Linked DNA regions of Ovis aries. The protein of the gene in region 2 purifies or fractionates together with the protein of the main gene of each other region. This does not show direct contact. Links are inferred from orthologs where the notes say so. Each region holds a gene or a part of one and is shown on either strand. Other genes may lie near its edges.

Region 1 (3,500 bases), on a different chromosome or scaffold from region 2:
AGAAATATTTAATTACTAAATTTTTTTGTTTTCTCTTTCGTAATTCTTCTGCTCCCTGGACTATGAAGCCAGGGGGTGGGTCTCATCCATGCCACCCCTGGATGTCAAGGGTTGGGTGGCTGAGAACTCGACCTGGACTCCTGAAGCTGGGGGCAGCATTGAACTTGATTTCAGTTATGTAACGGAAAACAGCTGCTCACAAGTGTGGGCGCTTCCAGACACGGGATTCAGGCGACTGCTGGAGAGCGGTGAGGGCTGTCGTCTTCTGAGGCAGCCCACTGCCCTAGAGCTCAGCAGCTAGTACTTGTGGTCCGTGCTCACACGATCGACAGCAACCAAGAAAAGCAAATGGGGCAGTGTTCGTTCGTTTTCATCATGTCTGGAGGCCGGGAGCCTTGGGGCAGTTTGATCTTTAGCCCCACGAGTTGAGTGGACGCTGTCCAGGCCATGCCCTTCATTTCTGGAGACCATCTGCATCCACGGAAAGGGAGTCAGAATACTCCCTGCCGATGGCGTCCCCATTTCTGCCTGGACTGGGTGAACATGATCATACATTCAAGTAGCTGTTTGTAAATGTCCTTGGGAGAACAAGTGTTCAGAAGGGTAGGAACTTTGACCCAAAGTCTCTGACTGACCTTCTCAGGGGGACCAAGGTGTGGCTTCTGGCTCACCTGAAATGAGCTAAGTTGATGGACCGCAACAGTTCAGACTGCTTCCCCATGTCACAAGGTCGCAGAGCTTCTATAAAACACACTGGGTCAAGTTCATCACCAGCCTGCCCGTGGTTAAGGTACAAAACCCTGTCACGGATGCCGTGTCGTGTGTTCCACTGACCTCTCACGGCAAAGTCAGTGCCTGGTAATTGATGCGATGACCTGACTTGAGTCTCTGCCAATGATGTCCCCTCGGATGGAGGCGACCCGCCTGCATCCCCAGGGACATGGATGGTTTGATCACCACCGCAGTCTGTAGCTGTGCTTAGGTGTTTAGACCAGCTTTCGTGAAAAGTGTGTTTCTCTTGACACACAGAAAACAAGTCACTTCCCAGGGTCGGGCCTGCCTCGGCACCATGTCACAGCTTTCTTCGGTCACATCGAGATTCTCCACGCCACAAATAAATAAAGCTAACTGGGTGGTGATAGTTCATGAGCAGCGATAGTAAAGGCCACGACTGATCTGACTCGGTCAAGCAACTGGATGTGTCGATCTTCAGGTTTCTCTTCCCCTCCCACGAGACGCGGATGCCTGCTGGACTCAGACGATGGTCCAAGCAGACGAGGGTTTCTGTCCGGGGGGCGTCTCTTCGGCTCCCTTATAAACTGGATGTCCGTGGGCTGGAACGCCCGGGTGATTCGCGCCATGTGGCTCCTGAGCCTCGAGCGGCAGCCACGCCGCTGCTCCCGCCGGCTTTCCGAAACCGGCCCTACTGACACTTGAGGCCCTTCTTCAGTTCATTGAGAATTGCGTCTCGCGTCTGCTCCGTGTACTGGTCGAAGCTCTTACTGTGCTTGGATTCATAGTGACGCTTCAGGTTGTATTCTTTCAACACAGACACGATTTTTTTGCATATTAAGCACGTAGGCATGCTCTTCACCTCCACAAAGAAATAGGCTCGCTCCCATTTCTCTCGAAACACGTGGCCCTCTCGTTCTCTCTTTCGTTTTGCCACTTTTGGTAGAGACATGGGTACAAGAAAGATTTCACTGTCTCCGAATACTACCCCGGGGACACCAGCCGTGCCAGCCCTGTGGCGAAGGCGACAGCCTTCTGCCTCGTGGTGTGGGGGTCAGGAGGGAGTGGTGGGGACTGTGGCGAACCAGAGAGCACACGCCCCGTGCAGAGGGACGGCTCCAGCCCGTTGTTTGCTGGGCGGGAGGGTGGACCCAGGGGAGCCAGATCTTCTGACTTGTCAAGAGAAGACAAGACTACAGATTTTGTGTGTGTATGTGTGGGTGTTTGAGAGAGAGAATCATCCTGATTTTTACAACTAACTCATTAGGGAAAAAAATGCCACATAGCCTAACACAGGGAAGGCCAAACAAAACTCATCTGTAGAGTGGCCCAGGGGCCACCAGATTGCAACCTCTCTCCTGGGAGGGGATCTGGGCATCTGATCCTAACAGGCATCTCAAACAATGCGGACACTGGTGGTCCACCTCTAGACCACACTCTGAGCATCACTGCTCCGGGGTCAGTCTGACAACAGACAACTAAGTCTCTGCTCACAGGCCAGAGCAGCTGCCCCTTGGATGTCTCCCTAGGGACAGCCTCGGGCCCCTTGCCTCGTTACACCCCAAACCTGTATCTCCTCCTCACATCCCCACCGTGTCTCCCATCACTAAGACGGCCTCACTGTCCACTCTGTCCAAAGCCCCAGAAGCCTGGTCTCTGACTGCTCTTGCCACGAGACCTCTTCCGTTCCTGTGTCTTCAACCACCAAGCACACACGCTGCGCTAAGGACACACCCTGGGCTCCCAGCGTGGCCTCGGTCCCTCCGATGTCCCAGACCATCAGCGATCACCACTGGCTCCTTCTCCCGGCTCCTGCCTCAGGAAGGCCCGCCGTCTACCAGCACCCAGGCCAGGTCCTGGGGACCACCCTTGACCCCACCCTACACCCGCAACTTTTTCCACATGGGCACGCCAGTTTCTGGCCTCACCCCTCCTGCCCCCCAACTCTGGCCGCTCCTCTGTGCTCTCCCTCCCCACGAACATCACCCTCGGCTCCTCCCTGCCTCCTATCTTGCCCCATCACATCCCGCAGCCCACAGGGGGCTGACACCCAACCGACCCGGGCCTGGCCCCCGGGCCTGGCCTCCTGCAGCCATTCCGCACCCCCCGGACAAGCCTCCAGCTGCTCAGTTTGGAATCTGAGCTCCCTCCCCGCCTCTCCAGGCCCTCCTTTCCCACCAAAGGCTCGTGCTCCCAGAGGCCTCAGCTGACTTGTCCTCTGACCATACCAGGCTTCCTCCTGCCTCAACACGTTCCTGTCATCTCGGCACCTAGACTGTAACCACCTTCCCTCACGGCCTTGCTGACTGCCGCTCACAGACCCCAGCCTGGCTGGCCCACAGGCCTCCTCTGGGCCTGCCTGGTACCCTCTCTACCTCCATAGGTGCTCGTGGTCCTATGACCTCTGCCTACAGCCTCCTCACCTCCCGGAAGCCAGGCTGTACCAGATGGCCTCACTCACCGCTGAGGCCCCGGCCTCACCAGCCCGGGGCCTCAGGGGCGTCTGTTGAATCGAGAACAAGGGCAGAGGTGTCTCCCCCCATCTCCTCCTGCCCAGTCCTGGGGGATGTCAGTGACGGGAGCCGGGGCGTGTGTTAAAAGGAACTTTATTGGGTGTCGGGGTTCAGATGAGGTCCATGAGGATGTCGTCCTCCATGACGCTGGGCTGCAGGCCCGGCTGGGGGACCGGGCCCCGGGGCCCCCCGCTGAGCAGCATCTGACCTGGGGGGCAGTGGGAAGGGACTGCATCTCCCGGTGGTCCCTGGGGC
Region 2 (3,500 bases):
GAGGATAATTATTAAACTTTACAAGCTAATAAGTCCATAAACTAGATAAAAAATAAAAAATGTTTTTTACCTCAAAAAACGGTGCTGATTGTTTTCAGCAAGTATGCCCAATTTCCAAGGCTGTTTGGGTTTTCTGTTTTTTTTTGTTTGTTTGTTTAGTTTTATTTATTTATGGTTCCTGTGCCCTGTGTGCAGCTTTGTATGTATTTCACAGATAAGGTAATGTTTGAAGCACTTAAACTCACCAAAAATTTTAGATAATAAATTTGATTGAACTTGGAATGAAACCACTGGGTGGGATGGAGGTATAACAAGGAATGAAATACGGGTGGATGGGGTGGGAATATATATTTACAAACAACATTTTTTATATTTATAATTGCTTAGGATTTAATATGACTTATTAGGGGAGAAAAAGAATGAAAAAACACTCCCTGCCAAGATAAAGATGCATTTTCTTTTGGAAAGAACCACTTTATTTTCCTCCTTTCTTTTTCTTTTTTCCTTTCTTTTTTTTTTTTTTCTTTTCTCTTTTTTTTTGTTTGTTTTTGTTTTAAAGATATTTGGGCTATAGGGTGTATATTTGCAGAACTACTAACGTCAGAACCAATATTTCACTGTCGACAAGAGGACATCAAAACTAGTAATCCTTATCACCATGACCAGCTGGACAGAATATTCAATGTAATGGGATTTCCTGCAGGTACACATTATATTTTTGTTTTTGTTTTTAAATCACTGTTGTTTGAACTTAGATGTCTTCATTGAAAGGATGTGTATTTTTAGCTGATGAAAGCTACTCTTACTCAGTTCTTTATATTTACGACTTGCATTAATCAAAGACCCTTAGAAATAGCAAAATTTGTAGAGTTCACATATTAGCATAAAAATATTTATGGGTTTCTTGAATTTGAGGAGTGTATTTTTGTTTCATTTTGGTTTTTGGTTTTGTTTTGTTTAATATTTAAAATGATAAAATATTTGCAATATCTGTGTTTAAAAAGTGCCTTTAGCTCTCACCATTGGCAACTGAATAGAATTCAGGAGCATGTCTTTTTGTCTGATAGCACTTAATAATAATGTCATTGTTTGGTATTTGAATACAGATTTTGAAGACTGTTTCTACTTGAAACACATTGTATTGAATCGTAGCATTTTTTGCTCTATAACCCTTGTCAGTAAGAACATCCTTTCCAGTTAGAACAGGCAGGATGTGAGTGAAGGCCCAGCCCTGCACAGCAAGTGAGCCTGCTCTGACTGCCGCTGGGAGGTGGTGGTTGGGGCATTTCGTCACGGGCTTTAGAGCTCCAGCCCCAGCCCAGTCCTTGTGCCGCAGAACAGAAGTCCATTACTCTCCATTTGAAACGCCTGCATAGTTTTGGCTAGTCAAGTACTTCTTATTGAAATGATAAACAATAAGTTTATTATTAATAAATATGTTAATAATTTAAAATATCAATAACTTATTGAAATAATAATAAGAAACAATACGTTGTTTCTTATTAGGAATTTTTCTCAGATCAGTGGCTCAAAACTAATACAGAAATATCTGGGAGTTATAATTTCACATTCCCTTTAATTATCAGTAAGTGCAAAGTAGCTACCTTTGTCCAGAATTGACCAACATTTCTACAAAGATTGCTTTGTTGAGATGGGAGTTTCATTTATTCACTAAAGATTTATTGAGCACCTGCCATGTTTCAGGCACTGTGTTAAGTGTAAAATATTGTTGATATAACAGACGTGATTCTTGCCCTCTTGGAGTTGACACTCAGCTGCTCTAAGTAGAATGTTGAAAGAATAGGAGTAGTTTGAGTAGATGGAGAAGAATGACCTTTTCTTCCCACTTCTGAATGCACTCATCAATTCAGGGGTCCCCCGGGGAAGGAGCCTGACTTACAGGGCCTTGGAGGAGGGGTGGCCTCCACAGGAGATGGTTCTGAAATGGTTCTTAGGGCGTGGTTCCACGTTTGGGATCTGCTTATAGGGAATCTGAAAACCAAGCAATAGAATTTAGATTTGATGTGCTAAAGAAGGAGAATCTGTGATAAGTTCTTGAGAACTAGTGCTGTGATTTGTGTTCTACTTTAGAATGGTTTCTATGGCAGGGGTATGTAAAAATTTAAGAGGGGTAACTGAAGTCAGGAAACCATCTTTTACCTGCAGCAGTACTCCACGTGTAAAGTGATTTGGATGGAGAAGAAAGGATAATGGTATAATTTTTTAGAGTAAGCCTGTAATTGGGAGAAAAAAATAAAAGATTATCTTAGGATTTCTACTTGAGAAATTGACAGAAATAAAGAAATTGGAACAAGGAAGTAGTCAAGGAGAAAATTCCTCTTAGGAGTTTAAAGTATGTATTTAGTTTACAATATGTGGTATCTGGAGGCTAGATAGCAGATATTTTTATAAGCCAGTTGAGAGAGAAGCTAACCTCTGGAGGTCATTTAAAAGCTGAGGTGCCATGAAGCTACCTGGTAGAGAATGTGGGCACCTGTGGACTCTCAGTAACTCCTCCAATGGACACAGCAAGCTTCTCAAACCGCGTGTGGTGTTTGAGTAACTCTAATGTCAGCAAAACTGACCAAGATGTTTCCACCTGATGGGTCTGGTAGCTGGGATTGCTTTTGTTATTATTATTGAAACTAGCCCAGATACTAGCTGACTTGTTCATATGCTAGTACATCCGACTCTGTGTTTCAGACAGCTGTAACTGCTTACCTTGATTACCATGTAAAGCAGTGTATTTAATAAGGGGAGCGTAAGGAGGGCCGTATAAAAAGGACAGCTTACAGCTGCTGAGGGGGAAGATACTGCATTTATTGTTGAAAAGATTGGTTGCTGGATTAACCAAGACATGGTGGGACAAAAGTGGTTTTACAGATAAAAATAAAAGTATTTAATAATGGAAATATTTGTTTATAACTTGTTGGTGTCTTAGTATAAAAACTGAGATAACTTATAGTAAAACATAGAGAAAATAGACATTTAAAAACAGCATATGGAGAATGCATTTACAGTTAAAGATGTTTATTGCAGCTCACCATTTATTCGAAGTCTGTGCTTTCAGGGAGGTTAAAATGTAGGACATGTAATGAGAAGTGAAGTCACCTTTATTAAAGTTCTTAATAATAGGAACCTAGACAATATAAAATTGTATCAATGTGTTTCACAGATAAAGATTGGGAAGATATAAAAAAGATGCCTGAACATTCAACATTAATGAAAGATTTCAGAAGAAATACGTAAGTTGGCAAGAAAATAGACTGTTGATTTTTGCTTTTCTAGAATACTCAGGATAAGATTGAATACTCAGCATGATAGAATAGTTGACAGAAGACTAGTCTGTTAAATAATTTTACTTATTTACTCTAATAAATGTTTTTGCATTGTGGTAGTCTTCATTTCTTAAGATGTTTGAATGGTGATACAAGAAGGTGAATATCTAATATCAGCAGCTGATTTGGCTATGAGGAAAAAAGTCAGTTCATTTCTTTGCA
Region 3 (3,500 bases), on a different chromosome or scaffold from region 2:
AAGTGTCATGTTCCAAAGCAGAATTCTATCTAAAGAATGGCTTGCCATATGAATGAACAAAGGAAATCACTTATAGATAAAAATTAAACTTTCCACATTCCGTTCAGCTTTATAACATTAGAAAAGTTTCTATTATTATGAGGGACCAAAAAGTTTAGTTTGAGCTTAACAGACAAAAATATATTTGGAAGAACTTGAAAATACTCTGAAAAACATGGACAATAAATATTCAACTTTTTGGCAGACAACCTTTTCTGCACCTTCCTTTTGGTATATATTCTAACTTCATTCCCTCTTTCTCATCATCCATCACATATTTTAACCCCTCAAACTTAGCCAATAAGGCTATTCTGCTAACTGGTCATCTATTCAGATCTATTACCAGTTGCATGATTTCAAAGCAGAATCTAATACACAGGGAAGACATTTCATTCCATAGTATAAACTATGTGATCAGTCTTGTAAAAGACAGAACATATACATGAAAGAAACAATTATGAAGCACCATACAAATAAGGTGCTTATTTGTACAAAACTACATATTAACCTGCTAAGGAAAGCGAAGTACAAGTAAATAGAAAATAATCAGAAAAGGCTTCTTAGAACTAATTTTGTACGATATCATGACTCTGGCCAATAATTATCAGTTAAACCATTTGAGATCAGTGAAAATACAGATATAATGCACAGGGTCAGGTATCCACAAGTCTTTCAAGAGACAATAACCAAAGTGGCTTGAATGAAGCAGAAGCTTCTGCAGCTGTGGAGCTCCTGAGCTGTGTTATGAGACACAATTAGAGTGTGTGTGCTATTGGTTTTGGTCAAGAGCAGAGTGCTGAAGATACCAGTTAAGGAATGACAGTGCCCAAGGTGGCCAAGGTGAAGCAGGACTTGCTCCCTTTGTCAGCTGATGCCTGCATCCCTTCTCAGTTCCACACCTCCCTGCTCTTTGCCTTTCCACTGGACAGGGGCCCCACGATCATAAGATCTGTGGCATGAGAGAACCGAGTCTGCCTGGTGACTCCCTATTTGTCACAGAAGTTTACCAGCCACCTGCACTTTTAAGACTGTTGGGAGAGGAGCAGAGAGCTGTGGGAAACACTGGGCAATTTTAAACTCTTTCAGGAAATACAACAAAAAAGAGACAGATTTTATAAATGCTTCCACTTCATTTCTCTTCTGTGAAATTAATAGACCCTGAAAAATTAGTATCTGACAGCGATTACTTTTTATAATCAGAAAAAACAATACCTTGTAATCCACCCCTCCAATTATTTTCCGAACCAGTTTAAATGTTAAGGCCCAAAGCTGTGTTCTTTCCCATTCAAGTGTGTCAGAGTTTATCAGGGATTCACAAACCATCCTAGAAAAAAAGGAATACCCATTCCAGTTACAAGACAGGAGTTTTGTAAGTTCTCTAATAGCCAAGGTCCACAAACTCTGGATATTATATTTGTCACAGTAAGTGCTAATAATTGTCATAAAGGTACATTACTCAAGCACACTTTCAAAAAATTACATAAAGCATTTTATATTTTTTATTTATATGAAAGACTTAACCCAGAGTAGGACTAAACCCAAAGCAGACTCCTTACCGTCTTGAGCCACCAGGGAAGTCCTAAAGTAGAACTGCTGCTGCTGCTAAGACGCTTCAGTCGTGCCCGACTCTGTGCGACCCCATAGACGGCAGCCCACCAGGCTTCCCCGTCCCTGGGATTCTCCAGGCAAGAACACTGGAGTGGGTTGCCATTTCCTTCTCCAATGCATGAAAGTGAAAGGGAAGTCGCTCAGTCGTGTCTGACTCTTCGCAACCCCATGGACTGCAGCCTACCAGGCTCCTCCGTCCATGAGATTTTCCAGGCAAGAGTACTGGAATCGGGTGCCATTGCCTTCTCCAAAGTAGAACTAATATTAATTATGTTATATTTTTGCTAGAAAGAAATGTACCAAAAGCTATTGGTTAAATGTGTATCATTAACCAATTAGTGGCAAACTGTGTTTTTCCAAGATGGCTGCAATAAGACTTTCGACCCCACGTGCTCTTCTAAAATGTGATATTGATGCTCCTCCCAGGAAGAGTATCAATGTCAAAAGGGTAGAAACAAAAATCTATCCCTCAGTTTGGGCAGGTCCAAGACTGGCAAATGGAAAGGCTTTCAAGGCAAAGTGATACAGCTTCTGCCTAGCCCTCTTATGAATGGTTGCTCCTAGACTCCACTACACTGTGAGAAAGTCAAGGTCACACAGAGAAGGCATATGCAGGTTCTGGCCAATAGTGCCAGCTGATGTCTCTCAGGTGACAGTTAGGCATATGAATGGGGAAATCTTTGTCATGACTCCAGTCATAGCCACCATCCGATTGCAAACACAAAACCTGAGAAAATCCTTCCTACTCCTTGTCCAAGCAAGCACTGTAATTGTGAATGTTAATAATAAAAGGATTATTACTGTTTTAAGCCATGAAGTATTGAGGCAATTCATCATGCAGCAAAAGTTAACTGGAACTGACCCAGGAATTTCACTCCTGGGTATATAACTAAAAAATACAAAAACACTAATCTGAAAAGATACACACATCCCAATGGTCATAGCAGCATTATTTATAATTGCCAAGATAAGAAAGCAACCTAAGTGTCCCTCAACAGATGAATGGATAAAGATGTCCCTCTCAATCTCACACACACACACAGTATACTGCTACTGCTGCTACTGCTAAGTCACTTCAGCCGTGTCTGACTCTGTGCTACCCCATAGACGGCAGCCCACCAGGCTCCCCCGTCCCTGGGATCCTCCAGGCAAGAACACTGGAGTGGGTTGACATTTCCTTCTCCAATGCATGGAAGTGAAAAGTCAAAGTGAAGTCGCTCAGTCGTGTTCGACTCTTAGCGACCCCATGGACTGCAGCCTACCAGGCTCCTCCATCCATGGGATTTTCCAGGCAAGAGTACTGGAGTGGGGTGCCATTGCCTTCTCCGCACAGTGTACTACTCATCCATAAAAAAAGAATGAAATTTTGCCATTTGCAATAACATGGACAGACTATTAGAGTATTATGCTAAGTAAAATAAGTCAGACAGAGAACAACAAATACTATATGACATCACTTATATGTGGAATCTAAAAAATTCAACAAACAAGTGACTATAACAAATACAACAAACACTACCTAGAAAAGCTTGTCAAAGTGAGTGATTTTAATCCCTGGGCTAAAAGGCAAAGCCTGCCTGGTTTTGAGCACCTGAAGTATACAATTTTAAGAATACTGCATCCTCGAAATTAAAACTGAGATACTACGAAGCACTTTTTGTTGACTGTAACTGCCTTCTTTATTCTCTTATCCTTTTACAACAATCACCTCAACCAATTTCTAAACGTTAATTAAAAAAAAAGAAAATATTTCAGATTGTTCATATTCATCATTAACCATACCTGGGTGGAAGGAGACCAGTCTCGACTGCCATTGCTAAGCAGTCATAAAGAAAAGAAATTCTTTTAGGACT
Region 4 (4,037 bases), on a different chromosome or scaffold from region 2:
ATGAAATGAGCATTTGGGATGGGCCAAAGCAGGCAGGACTTATGTGTCGCCCATGCTAAAGGCTGTATTTTATTGTACGGCCACTGGGCAGTTATTAGCTCCACACTTTATTCTCCATGCAACAAGGAAAGATATGACTGGATTTACATTTTAAAAAGATCATTCTAGGAAAATTGGTATGGATGCTTCAACCAGACAGGGTCACATGAAAAAAAGTGGCAATGAGGGGAGGCGGGTCCAAGTTAAAAAAGGCTTAAGAGACACGGTTTTCATATGTAATGCATGAGATGATATTATGCCCTGGATCAAAACACAAGATGGAGGAAACTTCTGAATATGAATTATATATTAGATGATATCAGAAATATACTATGACTCTTTCAGGTAATAATGATAGTATTGGGGTTATTAAGGAAAATACGCTTGCTTTTTTAGAGATGAATACTGAAAGTGTTTGGGGGTAAAATGTTACGAGATCTGAATCTGTCTTCAAAAACGGCAAAAGGAAAAAGATAGAGCAAATATGGCAAAAGGTCAGAAACAGACATCTAGATGACTAGATCTAGAAATCTAGGCTGACTGTTCACAGGAATTCCCTGGTCATCCAGTGGTTAGGACTTGGTGCTCCCAATGCAGGGGACCCAGGTTTCATCCCTGGTTCAGGAGCTAAGATCCTGCATGCCATGCTGCTGCTGCTGCTAAGTCGCTTCAGTTGTGCCCGACTCTGTGCAACCCCATAGACTCTATTTTCTTTTCTCTGAGATTGATTCCTGAATGCATGGCTTAAGCAACTGATGACTGACAGCGGCACTTACTGAGATGGGAAAGGCTGAAGTAGAGGCAGATTGAGGAGTGCAATTAACAATTTTATTTTGTCCATTGTAAGTTACTAAACGGATGATCTGAATTAAAGTCTAAATTCTTCCACTAAAGATTAAATGACCTCCAGAAAATCATAACCCTCCCTGGTCTTGAGCTTTCTCATCTGGGAAAGTTACTTCACTTCTATTTCCTGATCTAGAAGATGGAACTAATAACAGTATCATAACATTACCATATGATCTATTAATCTCACTTCTGGGCATTCACTCCTAAAGAATCCAAAGCAGGATCTTGAAGAGGTATGTGCACACTCATGTTCACTGAGTATTATCTATGATAACAATTTGGGTAGAAGCAATCCAAATGTCTGACAGACAAACGAATAAAGAAAATATGGTATGTACATACAGTGGAACATTATTCAGATTTTTAAAAGGAGATTCTCTTACATGCGAAAGGGTTAATGTTGAGGATATTATACTAAGTGAAATAAGCCAGTCATAAAAAGACACATACTGAATGCTTCCACTCCTATGAGGTTATCTAACGTTGTCAAAATTAGAAACATCAAGTAGAAAGGTTGTTGCCAAGGCCTACGGCAAGGGGAAAGGAGGAATTAGTGTTTAACAGGAATAGAATTTCAATTCTGCAAGATGAAAAAGTTCTAGAGATTAGCTATACAACAATGTGAAATACTTAACATTACTGAACTGTATGCTTAAAAATGTTTAATATGGTAAACTTAATGTTATGTATTTGTGACCATAATTAAAAGTAAATTGGGGAATAAAAGGGTGCCAGAAATTATGCAGGTAGCTTTTATATAACAGCCTCTCATCTCCATGGAAAGCGGAACAGAAAACAGGAAAACAGGTAATTCAAGCTCCCTAGTTCACTTACCCTGCAGCAGGTACTCCATCATGTTAATGGTGCCCCCGGTGACAGGCATCATGGTGACTGGAGGTGCCTCCATGTTTATCTGTTTAAGTTGAAAACGACAGAACTAGATTTGGAATCCCCAGTCAGGTAACACACAGGATACACCTGGGGAAGAGTTATACTTGTTAATACATGGGAGAGGCAGAGAGAGACCAGATCTGCTTGGGTCATTGGCCTGGAGATGAAAATTCATTCATCCACCCATTCAAAACTTTAGTAACTGCTATAGGCCAGTTTCAGGTGATCCAGAAATACACAAAGGAGGCCTGATCATGGAGTTACAGCATAATCTTTCAGTCTCAAGGTCTGAAACCCTTCAATGGTTTTCTGTGCACCCTGGGACTCAATGTCTTTCTTCTAAAATGAGGCCATGATATTAACCCCCAAGTCTTTGTGGCTCAGATGACATAATGGACCTGCAACTAAAGACTGAAAAGTGACTTAAGGACTCTTGTATGCCCTTCAATTTACAGATGAGGATGTTGAGGCTTGGGGAGGAGCCTAAGGACACACAATAGGTGGGTGGCAGAACCTATACCAGACTAAAATCTAGGCGTTCCACCTCTCTAAAAACCTTTTAAAGAGATTGAAGCGAAAGCACGAAGTTCTTTCCACTGATGCTTTGTGTTAGTCGTTCAGTCGTGTCCGACTCTTTGTGACCCCATCGACTTAGGCCTGGCTTCTCTATCCATGGGGCTTTCCAGGCAAGGATACTGGAGTGGGTTGCCATTTCCTTCTCCGGGGGAATCTTCCCAATTCAGGGATCAAACCCGGGTCTCCTGCATTGCAGGCGGATGCTTTACCGTCTGAGTTTACTAGGGAAGCCCCAATGATGCTTTAGGGCCTCCTAAACCCAGCATCAAAACGTGCCCACTTATACCAAAAACACACCGCCAAGCGCGTTCCAGCCTCTTCCAGGAAAGCGGGGGACCGTATTCACCCGAGCACCTCGGAGCTTTCGAGCAACAATCACCACCCCCAGCCCTAAACTTGAAAACCCCTAGGCAGTGCAACAATTCTCTCGCCTCTTCCCACGTCTGACAAAAACCTTTCGTCGCGCAAACCTCGACACCGCCACTCTGCGACGTAAGGGTGCCGAGAGGACAAAAAAAGTCTCTTCCGCTGTACGGCAAGCAGGGGCGCATGCGCAAACTCCGATGCTGCACGGAAGATGGCGGCCTCCTTAGGAGGGGTCCTTTGGGAGATTCAGGCGGCATTGCAGTCATACGCCATCTTCCAGGAAAATATTTTTTTCAACTGTGAAGACCTGGACGTGTTTTTGTCCAGGAAATCTCTTGGACCTGAAAGGACAAAGAGACCCTGGGGAAGAGAGCTTCAGAAAAAGAGGAGAGATTGTCGTAAAACAGAAACTTATTTTGGGTGGGTATCTGATGATAGAACTTCCCAGTTGCTCAGCGGTAATGAATCTGCCTGCAGGAGACACAGAAGCCTCTGGTTGGATCCCTGGGTCGGGAGGATCCCCTGGAGGAGGGCACGGCCGGAGGTTCACTCAGAACAGCTCCCGCTCCTAAGGAAGAGCTGCGCTTGGAGACTTTTGGTCCTCATCTGGCCCCTCCCTCCGGCCGGCGTGCGCGGCCCCGCGGGGCTGGGGTGGGGCCCACCTGCGCCTCCTGGGGGGCGTGCAACCCGCCTCAGTGGGACTCAGTCTCCTAACCACCGCCGCCGCCACACCTTACATCAGTTTGGCTTCTGATGTTTTCATTTCCCTTGCTGAGGTGCTGCTTCTGGGTTAAAGTCATCTTATTGCCTGTCCATTTGTAGACAGGACAAGGTCGCTCGAATAGATCAGGAGTCGAGCTCAGAGTGGGCTTCCCTGGTGGCTCAGATGGTAAAGCGTCTGATCCCCTGGAGAAGGAAATGGCAACCCACTCCAGTACTTTTGCCTGGAAAATTCCATGGCCGGAGGAGCCTGGCAGGCTACAGTCTATGGGATCGCAAAGAGTCGGACACGACTGAGCAACTTCACTCACTCCGGCTCAGAGTAGGTCAAAAGTACACACATGTTGGGAGGAGTGGGAATCAAAACAGAAGGAGGGTTGCCAAGTACAGCCAGGACTAGGTGTTCACCATGTATGCTTAATAAAGGCCAGAATCTCATCTGTCTCTGGTGGGAGGGTCTGTTGGTTTCACTGGATCGAATTCAACCGATCCGAACCAGTTTCATGGAATAAAACACTGGACTTCGGTGGCCACTGTTCCCATCAAGAAAGGATGGTCGCGTTTGGAAGTAAACATGTTGGAGAGCTGTAAACACC
Region 5 (3,119 bases), on a different chromosome or scaffold from region 2:
GAATGAGGCAAATCATCAGGCAGAGAAGCCAAGCAATTCTGAATCATCTCAATGACTCGTTCCAGATGCTTTTGAAACCTCTCAGCTGTCTCAAGACGTTGACGTTTCTGCACCTCCATCATGACTCTCAAGGTCTCTCTTGCTTGGTGGGGTCGGTATTCATTTATGAGATGATGTACATGTACAAAAAGCAGCTTAAGATCTTCTAGCTTCTCTTCTCGTTTTATACTCCCAGGGCTCCTTATCAAGATATCTAAGAGGTCTAAGAAATTAATAAGGATAGACATATTGAGTTTTCTCAGTTCTTTCTTGTGATCAAACTGCATAGGATGAAGTCGTTCAATACCCTGACTTTCTAAAGGGCGGATGATAAGATCATCACACTGGAACTGGTTGCCAAACATCATGTAACTGTCCTTTATTGGAGGTGGAGGCTTGGGAGCGAGGCCTTCTTGAATATTTTCATCTGTATACTCCTTGATGTACTGCATCGGAGGGGGTGGGAGGGCACTCACTTGCTGTGGCTCACCCATTGTGGAAGATCAAGAACCTACAGAAATAAACCATCAAACAAAAAATAAGAGGAAAACAAAACATAACAAACACACACACACAAAGAGACCAAAGATTGAGAGTGGAGCTACAAAACAAACCTGTCACATTCAGTGATTAATGACAGAATATTTTCCCTATTCTCCCATGGCTGTTCGGTGCCCAAGACAAAAATTATCTCCGTCATCTCTAAAACTAACATTTACAACAGGGAAAAGCTGCTATCCTTCTCTAATTAGCATTATATACTCAATCATTCAAGTATTTTTCCAGCTCTACTTAACATTTTCATCAGCACAAAAAACTACTGTAGTATACAGCTGACCTTCAAAGCTATGGTTTTTCCAGTAATCATGTATGGATGTGAGAGTTGTACTATAAAGAAAAGCTGAGCACCGAACAATTGATGCTTTTGAACTGTGGTGTTGGAGAAGACTCTTGAGAGTCCCCTGGACTGCAAGGAGATCCAACCAGTCCATTCTAAAGGAAATTAGTCCTGAATATTCATTGGAAGGACTGATGCTGAAGCTGAAACTCCAATACTTTGGCCACCTGATGTGAAGAACCGACTCATTTGAAAAGACTCTGATGCTGGGAAAGATTGAAGGCAAGAGGAGAAGGGGACGACAGATGAGATGGTTGGATGGCATCATCGACTTCATGGATATGAGTTTGAGTAAGCTCCAGGAGTTGGTGATGGACTGGGAAGCCTGGTGTGCTGCAGTCCATGGGATCGCAAAGAGTCAGACACGACTGAGCGACTGAACTGAACTGATATAGCTGATCACTGGACAACATCGTTTTGAACTTGCAAAAGTCCACTCACATGTGGATTTTTTTCAATAGTAAATACTAGAGTACTACAAGATTTATGGGGCTTCCCTGGTGACTCAGTGATAAAGAACCCACCTGCCAGGACAAGAGATGTGGGTTTGATCCCTGGGTCAAGAAGATCTCCTGGGGAGGGAAATGGCAACCCACTCCAGTATTCTTGCCTGGGAAATCCCAGAGGAGCCTGGCGGGCTAGTCCATGGAGTTGCAAGAGTCAGACATGACTTAGTAAATAAGTAAAAACAAGACCCATGTTTGGTTAAATCCTCAGATGCAGAACCACAAATAAGAAGGAATGACAGATACAAAAGGTCAATTCTAAGTTATACTGTGCAGAGGCTGGGCATCCCTAACCTCCCAGTTGTTCATGGGTCAACTATATTTTCATCTATAAGTGAAACAGTCTGGATTCCACACCCCTCACCAGTTATGCCTCATTTCTCTATCCTCTCTACAGCCAAACTACACATGCTGTCTCCCCATCTCCATGTTATAATCACTTGTTTTATATTACAGATTGATTTCCAAAACAAACACCTGTAACTCTAAGGAACACTGACAAAATTAACACTGCTCTAGTCTAAACAAACTCACATCATCTGAGCTTCTGTGATCCAATTCAACTTCTTTTTTTTCTACAATATACTTTACAAATTTTTATAGATTCACTAACTTTTCTACATCCACTACAGAAGTTTCAAACTCAAATATATCTTCAATAACCACAATAACCTCTATCTATTCCATTTTAAGCTTAGGTATATCATAAAATGAGAAGATCCTGAGTGCTCATTTCGACTAATCTTACCAGATTTTCAAGATTTAATTATACAATCCAACATCAGAGATAGCAAGTAATATACTGGAGGCAGATTCATACTTGGAATTTCTGAGTTACTAAGGGCAACTATGGGGCAGTCCTGAGTTTCCACCAACCTATAGTGGTGAACTGGATACTACTGGGAGTCAACTGGATACTGTGATGAGTTACTCTAACTATACCAAGCTACACTTCACTGCTCTACTAGCTTTCTGTTTATCCATTTTTATCAATATCCAATCTGGAATCAACCTCCTTCCTCCACAAATACTAATCAAATTAATCAACAATCACATGACCAAATTCAATGGACATTTTTCTAAGGTGATCTTAATCTCTCAGCACCATTTTCTTCTTTTCAACCAAGTCCCCTTCTCCCTCAGCGTCTGTGATCTTACATTTATGTTTTCCTCCTACCTTACTGGAGGCTCCCTCTCAGTCTCCTTTACTGCTCCTCCTTCTCTATCCAAGTTTTAATGCTGGCATGCATAGAGGAGTGTCCTACAGAGTCACAAACTCAAAAGCCAAAGGGAAAAGACACGGAATATAGAGTTACACATGCAGGGGCAGGGATTAGAGAGAACAGAGCAACTCCAAGCCAGACCTCAAAGCCTCCAGCCACTACCATTCACTCATGAATTAAGATTCACTGCACCTTAGTCTTGATTTTTCAAGAAAGGAAGGAAAAATCCAGATTTTTATGGGGAATTTCTCAGTTTTTAAAAATACTAGCAATTAATTCTGGAATCTGTCAAGTACTGTGAAGTCAAAAAGAATTTATCTCTAACAACCTCTGTGGTCTGCGACCCACTAGTTTTAGGCCTCTGTTTTATGTTCTTCTTGGGATGACCTCAGTCAACTGCATAGCTTTTATTAGCATTTCTATCAGTGGTTCTCGCCCAGGTGTGATTTTTGC
Region 6 (4,042 bases), on a different chromosome or scaffold from region 2:
ATTGAAATAGGACAGAAGGACAAAAAGCAAGGCCTCCAAAATGTAGCCCCCACTTATTGCCACACACTACTGCATATTCAAAATTTCTAGATAGAAACCAACCACTGTGCTGTCAGTCCTCATTTAAGGGCTTTGTTTCCTAAGCTGCATCCCTCTCCTCCTCTTACCATGAGATCTTCATCTCGGTCTGGGGACAACACCAGAGGGATGATGACCTGGTTGCGGAACAGTGGTGTCTTTTCATGCTTCAAGACCTTGTTCAGAGTGTTCAGCTGTCCAGAAAGCAAGGCAAAGCTGTCCAGGACAGATGGCCTGGTGGTGGTAAGAAGATGTCAGCATGTTCCTGGTAAAGGAGCCTCAAAGGGGTCCCTCGGACTAGGAATAACCAGACTCACCCCCAAAACACTCATAGCCCTATGCTGGCCTGGGCAGGAACTAGACTGGCTCGCAGGGATTATGGGGTTAAGAAAGAGGGATACACTTTGAGTTTCTGACACAGATGGAGAAAAAAAACAGGTCATTATAGCAATCCCCACTTATCCTAAGTTTCACTTTCTGAGGTTTCGTCTACCCGTGTCAACCACAGTCCAAAAATATTAAATGATAAATCCAGGAAATAAACAATCCATGTTTTTAAATTGGGAGGTGTTCTGAGGAGTGTGATGAAATCTTGCTTCATCCCACTCTGTCCTACCCAGGATGTTGATCACCCCTTTGTCCAGCATATCCATACCGTATACGGTACCCACACAAGTAGTATAGAAAAAAAAAAACAACAACCCACAGTATATACAGAATAGGATTCAGTACTATCATAGTTTCGGGAATCCACAGTGGGTCTTAGAACTTACCCCTGATAGATCACGAGGAGCTACTACATTTGAATGGGGTGAGGACAATGGCAAAATAGGAACGATGGCTACACTATTATCACTAGAACTTCAGAAACCGGGTGAAAGATCCCTTTCCAGATCCAAACTTTCCTAGATTGGACCTAAAAGACTTGGCAAAACCCGTGCAAGAAATCCAGTATGAATACTGTGGTGGGAGGACCCACTGCAGGAGGACCTCATCCTGGAGAAGTCAAACAGGGAGAATCAAAAGCTAGAAAGAACCTGGGTTGAGAAATTGGGCATTTCTCTACTACCCTTAAAGTTGAGGTCCAAGGCCAACTTCAGTGTTAAATGTTGGGAAAGCCAGCTCTTTCTAAATCAAAAGATGTTCACAAAGTGATAAATGCTGGAGGAGGTACCCTGTGCAGCAGGTGGCCTAGCCCCCACCCATAGAGCCCTCCCCAGCTTGCCCTGGCAACTCTTACCAGGTCAGCCGGTCATACTCGTTCTCCAGCTTGTAAATGAAACTCCCCAGTGAGTTCTTCAGATCAGCCACTTGACTCAGCAGTGCATCTAATGATGCCTCAAGCTGTTTTTCCTCCCTCTGAGCCAATAGGAATAGGTTGGTTACTCAGCTGAGTGTAAGGATGACACATATAGAGGAAGGCTGAAAAGCCAGGGTGACAGTGTGCAACACCAGGACAGTGACACAGAATCTCATTGGCACAGGGACAGTCAGGCTGTTTCTGTCTCCTGTCAGCCGGGCTCCACCCCTATTTGGAGTTAGGATCACAGACAGCATCAACCCTTAGACCTTAAAACCCATTCATCTGACCTCAATTCCTCTTACCTACTGATTCCTTCCTCTCATCGCTTTTAATCCGGGCGTGACTGTTTCTCTATATTAGGCTTGGTTTGTATCTGTTCTCCCTCACTGGACAATTTTCACCAGACGTAATGCCTGGGATTTATTCTGTTCGGCACACCTCAGCAGCAGACGTACTCTGACGTCCTATGTTCTAGAACCTGCCTTGTGAACCTGGCTGTTCTTGGCAATGACATAATCTCTGAAAACCTACCTATACAGGAAGGCTCCTCTGAATACTGCCACCGTCACCTTCCTCTTCCCTCAGCATTTGCTGTTTCAACCTCCTCCTTGCTAAATCAATCTGCACTCACTTTATTGCTGTGCCAATATTCCTGTGCCCCTTTCGCAAGCTTAGTCAACCTATAAAAATGTACTGACAACTACCCTTCTGCAACAAACAGTGACAAATGAAAAACAAAACAAAACAGCAACCAAACCGCACATGCCCCTAAGCACTAGGCAAACTATATTAAAAGCTGAGGGGTCTCCAGTTTTATCTCATTTCACCCTTTAACTACTAGGGGTACACACTAGGAAGAATGAAACAGAACTGCAAAACCCCGAATGTGGAGGACACGAGCCGGGTTCCACCCACGGCCTCAGATTATTTAGTCTGGCTTCTGGCCACCACGGTCCCACAATTCCTTCCACCCTCGGGCTTCTCTCCAGTTAGATCCTCTGTTCTGTCAACATCCAACGTCTAGGCCGGGGCCTGAGCCCGAGCCCAATCCACCTCTTTCTTCAGCCGTCTTCCTTGGACTGCACCTTCCCAAATTTCAACTTGATCCTTTTCCACACCCTATCAACAACTTGATCCTTTTTCCACACCCTAGCAAGACAGTGCTGCCTTCTCCGTCCCAACCTAACCGCAGTTTCTGTCTCCTGTCAGCCGGGCTCCACCCCTATCCCTCTCCAGAGGTCCTCGTCCCCATCGCGCGTCCCTTTATCTCACAGTCGCGGTCTCGACCAAGTCCTCTCATCCCTAACTCCTCACTCTCTCCTCGGCCAGCCCACTTTCTGTCTCGTTACCCCAAGCTAGCTACCCGTCGCTAGCGCCAAACCGGTCCTCACCTGCATTGCTGCGGCGGGGGGCGGTGTCAATCACTTCCTCTTCCGGTTCCCAAGTAGGCCAATTAGAAAGCTCAGAACTCGACCCTCCCACTCACTTCCGGCCCCGCCAGTCGCGAGACCTCCGGGTCAGGGGTCAGGAGCGGAGCATCTTCTCTGGCCCGGGCCGGCGCGGGAGGGCTGTGTGATGGCCTCGGAGCGCCCGGAGCCGGAGGTGAGGGGCGGGCGGGCGCAGCGCTGGGCCTGTAGATCCGAGGGGGAGGGTCCGGCGGCCAGGCGCGGCCGTGGCCTCCTCCGGGTCTGGGGGCCGCCTGGCCCTCCTGAAGGCCCAATAGTAGCATCTCCTCACCCCTACTTTCCTCGGGGAGGCCTAGAGGAGGAATTCGTGGCTCAGTTTTGTTTGCCGAAATTTAATCCACGATTCTCTACTCTAGGGCTCTTGGGTTCTTTGACCTCGTAATGGCATTCAGAAAATCTGTATTTTGATCTTCTGTTGCAGTTTCAGTGGGCAGGTTTGCCGGTTGCTGCCTCATTCAAATATTATTGGAATGCCATAAACAGCATAAATTAATTAGGTTCTAGCGCTCATGCAATTGGAGAGCAGCTTAGATTTCATGAAAAAACGTTGGATTCAGAGTGAAACCTCGTTCTGGTATTGGCGCTGCCCTGTAGCTATCTGTGCAACTTTGGGCAAATCTTGACTTCCCGGATCCTGTTTCCTTCTTTGTAAAATATCTATCTTCAGGTCTATTGTGAGGATCACACGTTTTAAATGGGAAAATGCAAATGAAGCATCCATTAAGTACGAAGGACCATGCAAGGAACTTTTGTATACATTGTGTGGTTCAGACTTGTGCAAGGAAGGTGACAATACCCATTTCCATATACAGACAAACTAAAAATCGAGGGAAGTGAAGTACCTTACCCAAGTGCTACTCTCAGCTGGGGAGTGGCAGAGTTTTGTAATTAGAAGTCTAAAATGTCAGATTTGGAAAGAAAACATCACTAGGAGAGTTGCCCAATGTTACAGGAGAACATGTGAGTGGATGGGAAGGGTGAGAGGTGTATAATCATGTATTGAATCCTTACCTATCGAATGCTTACTGTGTCCCAGAGACCATCTTAGCGCTTTACCAATGTCAAAGATTACTCTCAACCCTACACAGTAGACACTTATCCCCATTTTTCAGTTGAGGAAACTGAGGCACAGAGGTTTTAAGAGTAACAAAGTTGCACAGCTAGTAAGTGGCAGAGCCAGGACTCCAAAACAGGT
Region 7 (3,500 bases), on a different chromosome or scaffold from region 2:
CGAACACATACACACAATAAGAAACACTGCAACATTTTGGGGCACCAGAAAAACATGTGGTTTACACTTTAAAAGGATCACTCTGGCTGTTGTGCAGAGATAAATCTCACATATCCAAAAGGTAGCAGATGATTAGAGACGAATAAGTGTCTTGTTCAGGTTCATCCAGTACCATTAAAGAAGACACAGTATCTAGAATTAACAGCCGAGTGGGAAGGCTCCATTAGGCACTACTATAGGATAAAACATCTACTCACTCTTCTCCATTCTATACTTTCAAATTCCAGTTTAATCACTCAGTTTCCTCATGGCACACAGAACATATGTGTTTCAAATAGTGACCATGAGAATTACAGCTGGTGGAAAGGCAAAGTCCCAAATCTTTGTAAATGAACTAAAAATGCCTTCTGATTCAGCAATGAGTATCTTGTGCCCTGGGACTTCCCAGGTGGTGCTTGTGGTATAGAACCTGCCCTCCAACGCCTGAGATTCATGAGATGCAGGTTCAATCTCTAGATTGGGAAGACCCCTGGAGGAGGACAAGGCAATCCACTACAGTATTCTTGCCTGGAGAATCCCACGGACAGGGGAGCCTGAAGGGTTACAGTCCACAAGGTTGCAAAGAGTGGGACACAACTAAAGCGATGTAGCATGTGCAAGCATGCACACATCTTGTGCCCTAGACCAGCATCACTATAGTTCTGGCAGTAAAACTGGGTTTTGAACCTACAGAGCTCAAGCTGAGACTTTCCCTGCCATGTGGAAGCCCAGTAGAAGACCTGGAGAGAGGGCAGGCTCTCTTTGTTACTGACATGTGCCCTGCAACACAGACTGCTCCAGGAGCTCTCCTAAGAGACAAAGCTCTCTTAGGAGCAGATATGACAAAGTTATGTGCAATCTGCAAAATGTAACTTTCATAGACATCTGTCCAATGCCTAATTCATATTATACTATTGCTAATCTCATGGTGACCAGAATGCCAGGTAGGAGAACAGGACATGGGTGGTGCTTTCCTACATCTAATCAAAACATGCTTTGCCCTTATTAGCTTAAGCTCAGTGTTTGAAAGGAAAACAAATGAATGCCATTAGGAAAATACTTGCCTAGCTCAATATTCTACTGTACTTTACCTGGTTAACTTGATTCTGCAGAGATGTTAGAAGGCCTTCTCGTTGTTCATCTTGTCCCTTAAGGCAGGTAAGGACCAGTGAGAGGAATGGTTGTTGACTCAAAAGAGACATACTATAAAGGAAGTAATAACAGCAGATCTAGTTAGAAAGAACAGATTCCTTCCTGTGCAACACTGATTTCCTGCCCTTGGGTTACTGGCTCTTATTCATTTTACTATTAGAAAAGGGAGGGAAGTAGCAAATAGCCAAGACTACTTGAAAAGTTAAATCATATCTCTAACTAATAAGGTTTAAAACCACTGTAATGCTTCTAAATAATTTAATATGTTCTCTTGCCCTTGAAGGCATCTGCAAACGAGCATAAATTCATACTGCATCTGAGCGGGGGGCGGGGAAGGAAGAAGAAAATGTATGGTTTGTATCAGTAAACTGAATTTAAAGATACATAGCAGGAAGAATATCACTGTATACACAGAAAAAAAGAAAAACTTTTAAACTTCTCTCACGTAGTATTTGCATTTTGTTGTTGTTTAGTTACTAAAGTCACGTCTGATTCTTTGCAATCCCATATGCTTTAGCCCACTAGGCTCCTCTGCCCATGAAATTTTTCAGGCAAGAATACTGGAATGGGTTGCCATTTCCTTTTTCAGGGAATCTTCTCAACCCAGGGAGTGAAACTGTCTCCTGTATTGCCATAGATTCTTTATCACTGAGCCACCATTCTTATTTACAGTCCAGGAAACAGGCCTATTAGGATTGTTGTGCTTGTGTTGTTTTTCAGCACATTTCTCAAGGCCAATTAGATGGGCATGAGTAGAACTGAGATGAGCACCGAGGTCTAAGGCCTCCAAAACCATTCTGCTGGCCAGTGACCTAGTGCACAGCTCCACTACATCCCACAGGCTTGACTTGTAAAAGAGTTTTAAGATATTTGATTTTTAAAATTTATTTTAAATTGGCATTTTAGCCTTATTTCTTACATGATCAGAAACACCTGACATATTGATAAACTAATTTTTCTACACTGCAAAGAAAGATTTCTTAAAATGAGATGGAGATCAAAATATTTCAGTCCGCTTCATTTTACACTAGCAGAGCTTAGAGAGACTAACTTAGGAAGAGCCACCTTCAATCTCTGCAGTACCATCTAGGATTCCTGTGGGAAGTGAGGCAACGTACATGCCATCGTTAGCCAATCAACTGTGAGAATTAAAACTGAGTTATCTGGTTGGTTAATAAATACTGGCAAAGGCGATGAAGCAACCAGATGCCAAGCAACATATGTGCAAAGCTAGGCCAAAACCAAAATGTGCTTCAGTTAAGAGCATAGACTCAGAGGCCAGACCACCTGGGTTTCAGCTTCACACCTTCGTAGCTATGTGTCCTTGATAAATTTACTTAACTTTCTAGTGCCTCAGTTTCTTCTTCTGTAAAAAGGACATAATGAAAGCACCTCAGTATGACTGCTGGGAGATTTTAAAACTTCACATATGTATGTAATGAATTCTATATTGAGGATGACATTTCATAAGGCCTTAGTAAATGGCAGCTACTGATTAGGTCATTAGAAATCATTACCGACTAGGGCATAAGAAACCCAAAATGTTCAAAAGGCTCAGAGTTTTTATTTTTCAATGTTAGGAATTTCCTTTTACCTCTGAGGTACTAAATTCATCATGGTTTTACATTAGAATGTGTTTATGTTCTTTTTCAGTAACATAATCATTTTTCTAATATAATTACTTAAACCTTTTCCAGGCCACAAAACTTAAAAAACATTCAACTTGGAAGACTCAACTTGGAGGATCCTATATATTAGGATCTAGCCTAATATATAAGCTAGAACAAGAGCCCTAAATGTTAAAAATATTAGTAACTTATTTCAGGGTGCAGCATAATAGAAGTATAAATTATTCCATGAAATTCAAGTGCCTAAATAAAAAGAAAAAAACCCAAACAACTGCTGAATACAGGGACTGTGGATATACACACCTGATTCAGCAGGCCTGAAGCAGAGCTGAGAAGTCAGTATTTTAATAGTGCAGCAGTGATTAGGGTACACAGGCAGAATTGAATGCTGCTGCTGCTGCTAAATCACTTCAGTTGTGTCCGACTCTGTGCAGACCATAGACGGCAGCCCACCAGGCTTCCCCATCCCTGGGATTCTCTAGGCAAGAACACTGGAGTGGGTTGCCATTTCCTTCTCCAATGCATGAAAGTGAAAAGTGAAAGTGAAGTCGCTCAGTCGTGTCCAACCGTCAGCGACCCCATGGACTGCAGCCTTCCAGGCTCCTCCGTCCATGGGATTTTCCAGGCAAGTGTACTGGAGTAGGGTGCCATTGCCTTCTCTGGAACTGAATGCTAGTGCAT

The links.
Region 1: the proteins of CDK8 (region 2) and MED25 purify together in Homo sapiens (affinity purification with mass spectrometry; 8 studies listed by BioGRID and IntAct, counting the BioPlex papers as one, with this or other methods). This does not show direct contact. The link is inferred for Ovis aries from reciprocal best matches to the Homo sapiens genes CDK8 and MED25.
Region 3: the proteins of CDK8 (region 2) and MED23 purify together in Homo sapiens (affinity purification with mass spectrometry; 10 studies listed by BioGRID and IntAct, counting the BioPlex papers as one, with this or other methods). This does not show direct contact. The link is inferred for Ovis aries from reciprocal best matches to the Homo sapiens genes CDK8 and MED23.
Region 4: the proteins of CDK8 (region 2) and MED18 purify together in Homo sapiens (affinity purification with mass spectrometry; 5 studies listed by BioGRID and IntAct, counting the BioPlex papers as one, with this or other methods). This does not show direct contact. The link is inferred for Ovis aries from reciprocal best matches to the Homo sapiens genes CDK8 and MED18.
Region 5: the proteins of CDK8 (region 2) and MED7 purify together in Homo sapiens (affinity purification with mass spectrometry; 7 studies listed by BioGRID and IntAct, counting the BioPlex papers as one, with this or other methods). This does not show direct contact. The link is inferred for Ovis aries from reciprocal best matches to the Homo sapiens genes CDK8 and MED7.
Region 6: the proteins of CDK8 (region 2) and MED8 purify together in Homo sapiens (affinity purification with mass spectrometry; 7 studies listed by BioGRID and IntAct, counting the BioPlex papers as one, with this or other methods). This does not show direct contact. The link is inferred for Ovis aries from reciprocal best matches to the Homo sapiens genes CDK8 and MED8.
Region 7: the proteins of CDK8 (region 2) and MED12L purify together in Homo sapiens (affinity purification with mass spectrometry; 3 studies listed by BioGRID and IntAct, counting the BioPlex papers as one, with this or other methods). This does not show direct contact. The link is inferred for Ovis aries from reciprocal best matches to the Homo sapiens genes CDK8 and MED12L.

What each region holds. Positions count from the first base shown.
Region 1 is NC_056067.1:55,925,195-55,928,694, reverse strand, and holds part of MED25 (mediator of RNA polymerase II transcription subunit 25), read right to left. Parts: intron 3,454-3,500; coding exon of another isoform or gene 3,356-3,453; exon of another isoform or gene 3,322-3,355; intron 1,669-3,321; coding exon 1,424-1,668; 3' UTR 1-1,423. UniProt on the Homo sapiens protein: Component of the Mediator complex, a coactivator involved in the regulated transcription of nearly all RNA polymerase II-dependent genes.
Region 2 is NC_056063.1:33,370,270-33,373,769, reverse strand, and holds part of CDK8 (cyclin-dependent kinase 8), read left to right. Parts: intron 1-559; coding exon 560-703; intron 704-3,175; coding exon 3,176-3,245; intron 3,246-3,500.
Region 3 is NC_056061.1:57,044,705-57,048,204, forward strand, and holds part of MED23 (mediator of RNA polymerase II transcription subunit 23), read right to left. Parts: coding exon 3,430-3,500; intron 1,795-3,429; exon of another isoform or gene 1,596-1,794; intron 1,364-1,595; coding exon 1,252-1,363; intron 1-1,251. UniProt on the Homo sapiens protein: Required for transcriptional activation subsequent to the assembly of the pre-initiation complex. Component of the Mediator complex, a coactivator involved in the regulated transcription of nearly all RNA polymerase II-dependent genes.
Region 4 is NC_056055.1:238,803,761-238,807,797, forward strand, and holds the start of MED18 (mediator of RNA polymerase II transcription subunit 18), read right to left. Parts: upstream 2,801-4,037; 5' UTR 2,653-2,800; exon of another isoform or gene 2,642-2,652; intron 1,867-2,641; exon of another isoform or gene 1,802-1,866; 5' UTR 1,796-1,801; coding exon 1,723-1,795; intron 1-1,722. UniProt on the Homo sapiens protein: Component of the Mediator complex, a coactivator involved in the regulated transcription of nearly all RNA polymerase II-dependent genes.
Region 5 is NC_056058.1:66,390,428-66,393,546, forward strand, and holds part of MED7 (mediator of RNA polymerase II transcription subunit 7), read right to left. Parts: intron 551-3,119; 5' UTR 534-550; coding exon 1-533. UniProt on the Homo sapiens protein: Component of the Mediator complex, a coactivator involved in the regulated transcription of nearly all RNA polymerase II-dependent genes.
Region 6 is NC_056054.1:18,067,155-18,071,196, forward strand, and holds the start of MED8 (mediator of RNA polymerase II transcription subunit 8), read right to left. Parts: upstream 2,801-4,042; 5' UTR 2,779-2,800; coding exon 2,773-2,778; exon of another isoform or gene 1,684-2,772; intron 1,438-1,683; coding exon 1,319-1,437; intron 313-1,318; coding exon 168-312; intron 1-167. Other genes in the region: KICSTOR complex protein SZT2, read left to right, coding at 2,957-2,983. UniProt on the Homo sapiens protein: Component of the Mediator complex, a coactivator involved in the regulated transcription of nearly all RNA polymerase II-dependent genes.
Region 7 is NC_056054.1:237,452,519-237,456,018, forward strand, and holds part of MED12L (mediator of RNA polymerase II transcription subunit 12-like protein), read right to left. Parts: intron 1,243-3,500; coding exon 1,131-1,242; intron 1-1,130. UniProt on the Homo sapiens protein: May be a component of the Mediator complex, a coactivator involved in the regulated transcription of nearly all RNA polymerase II-dependent genes.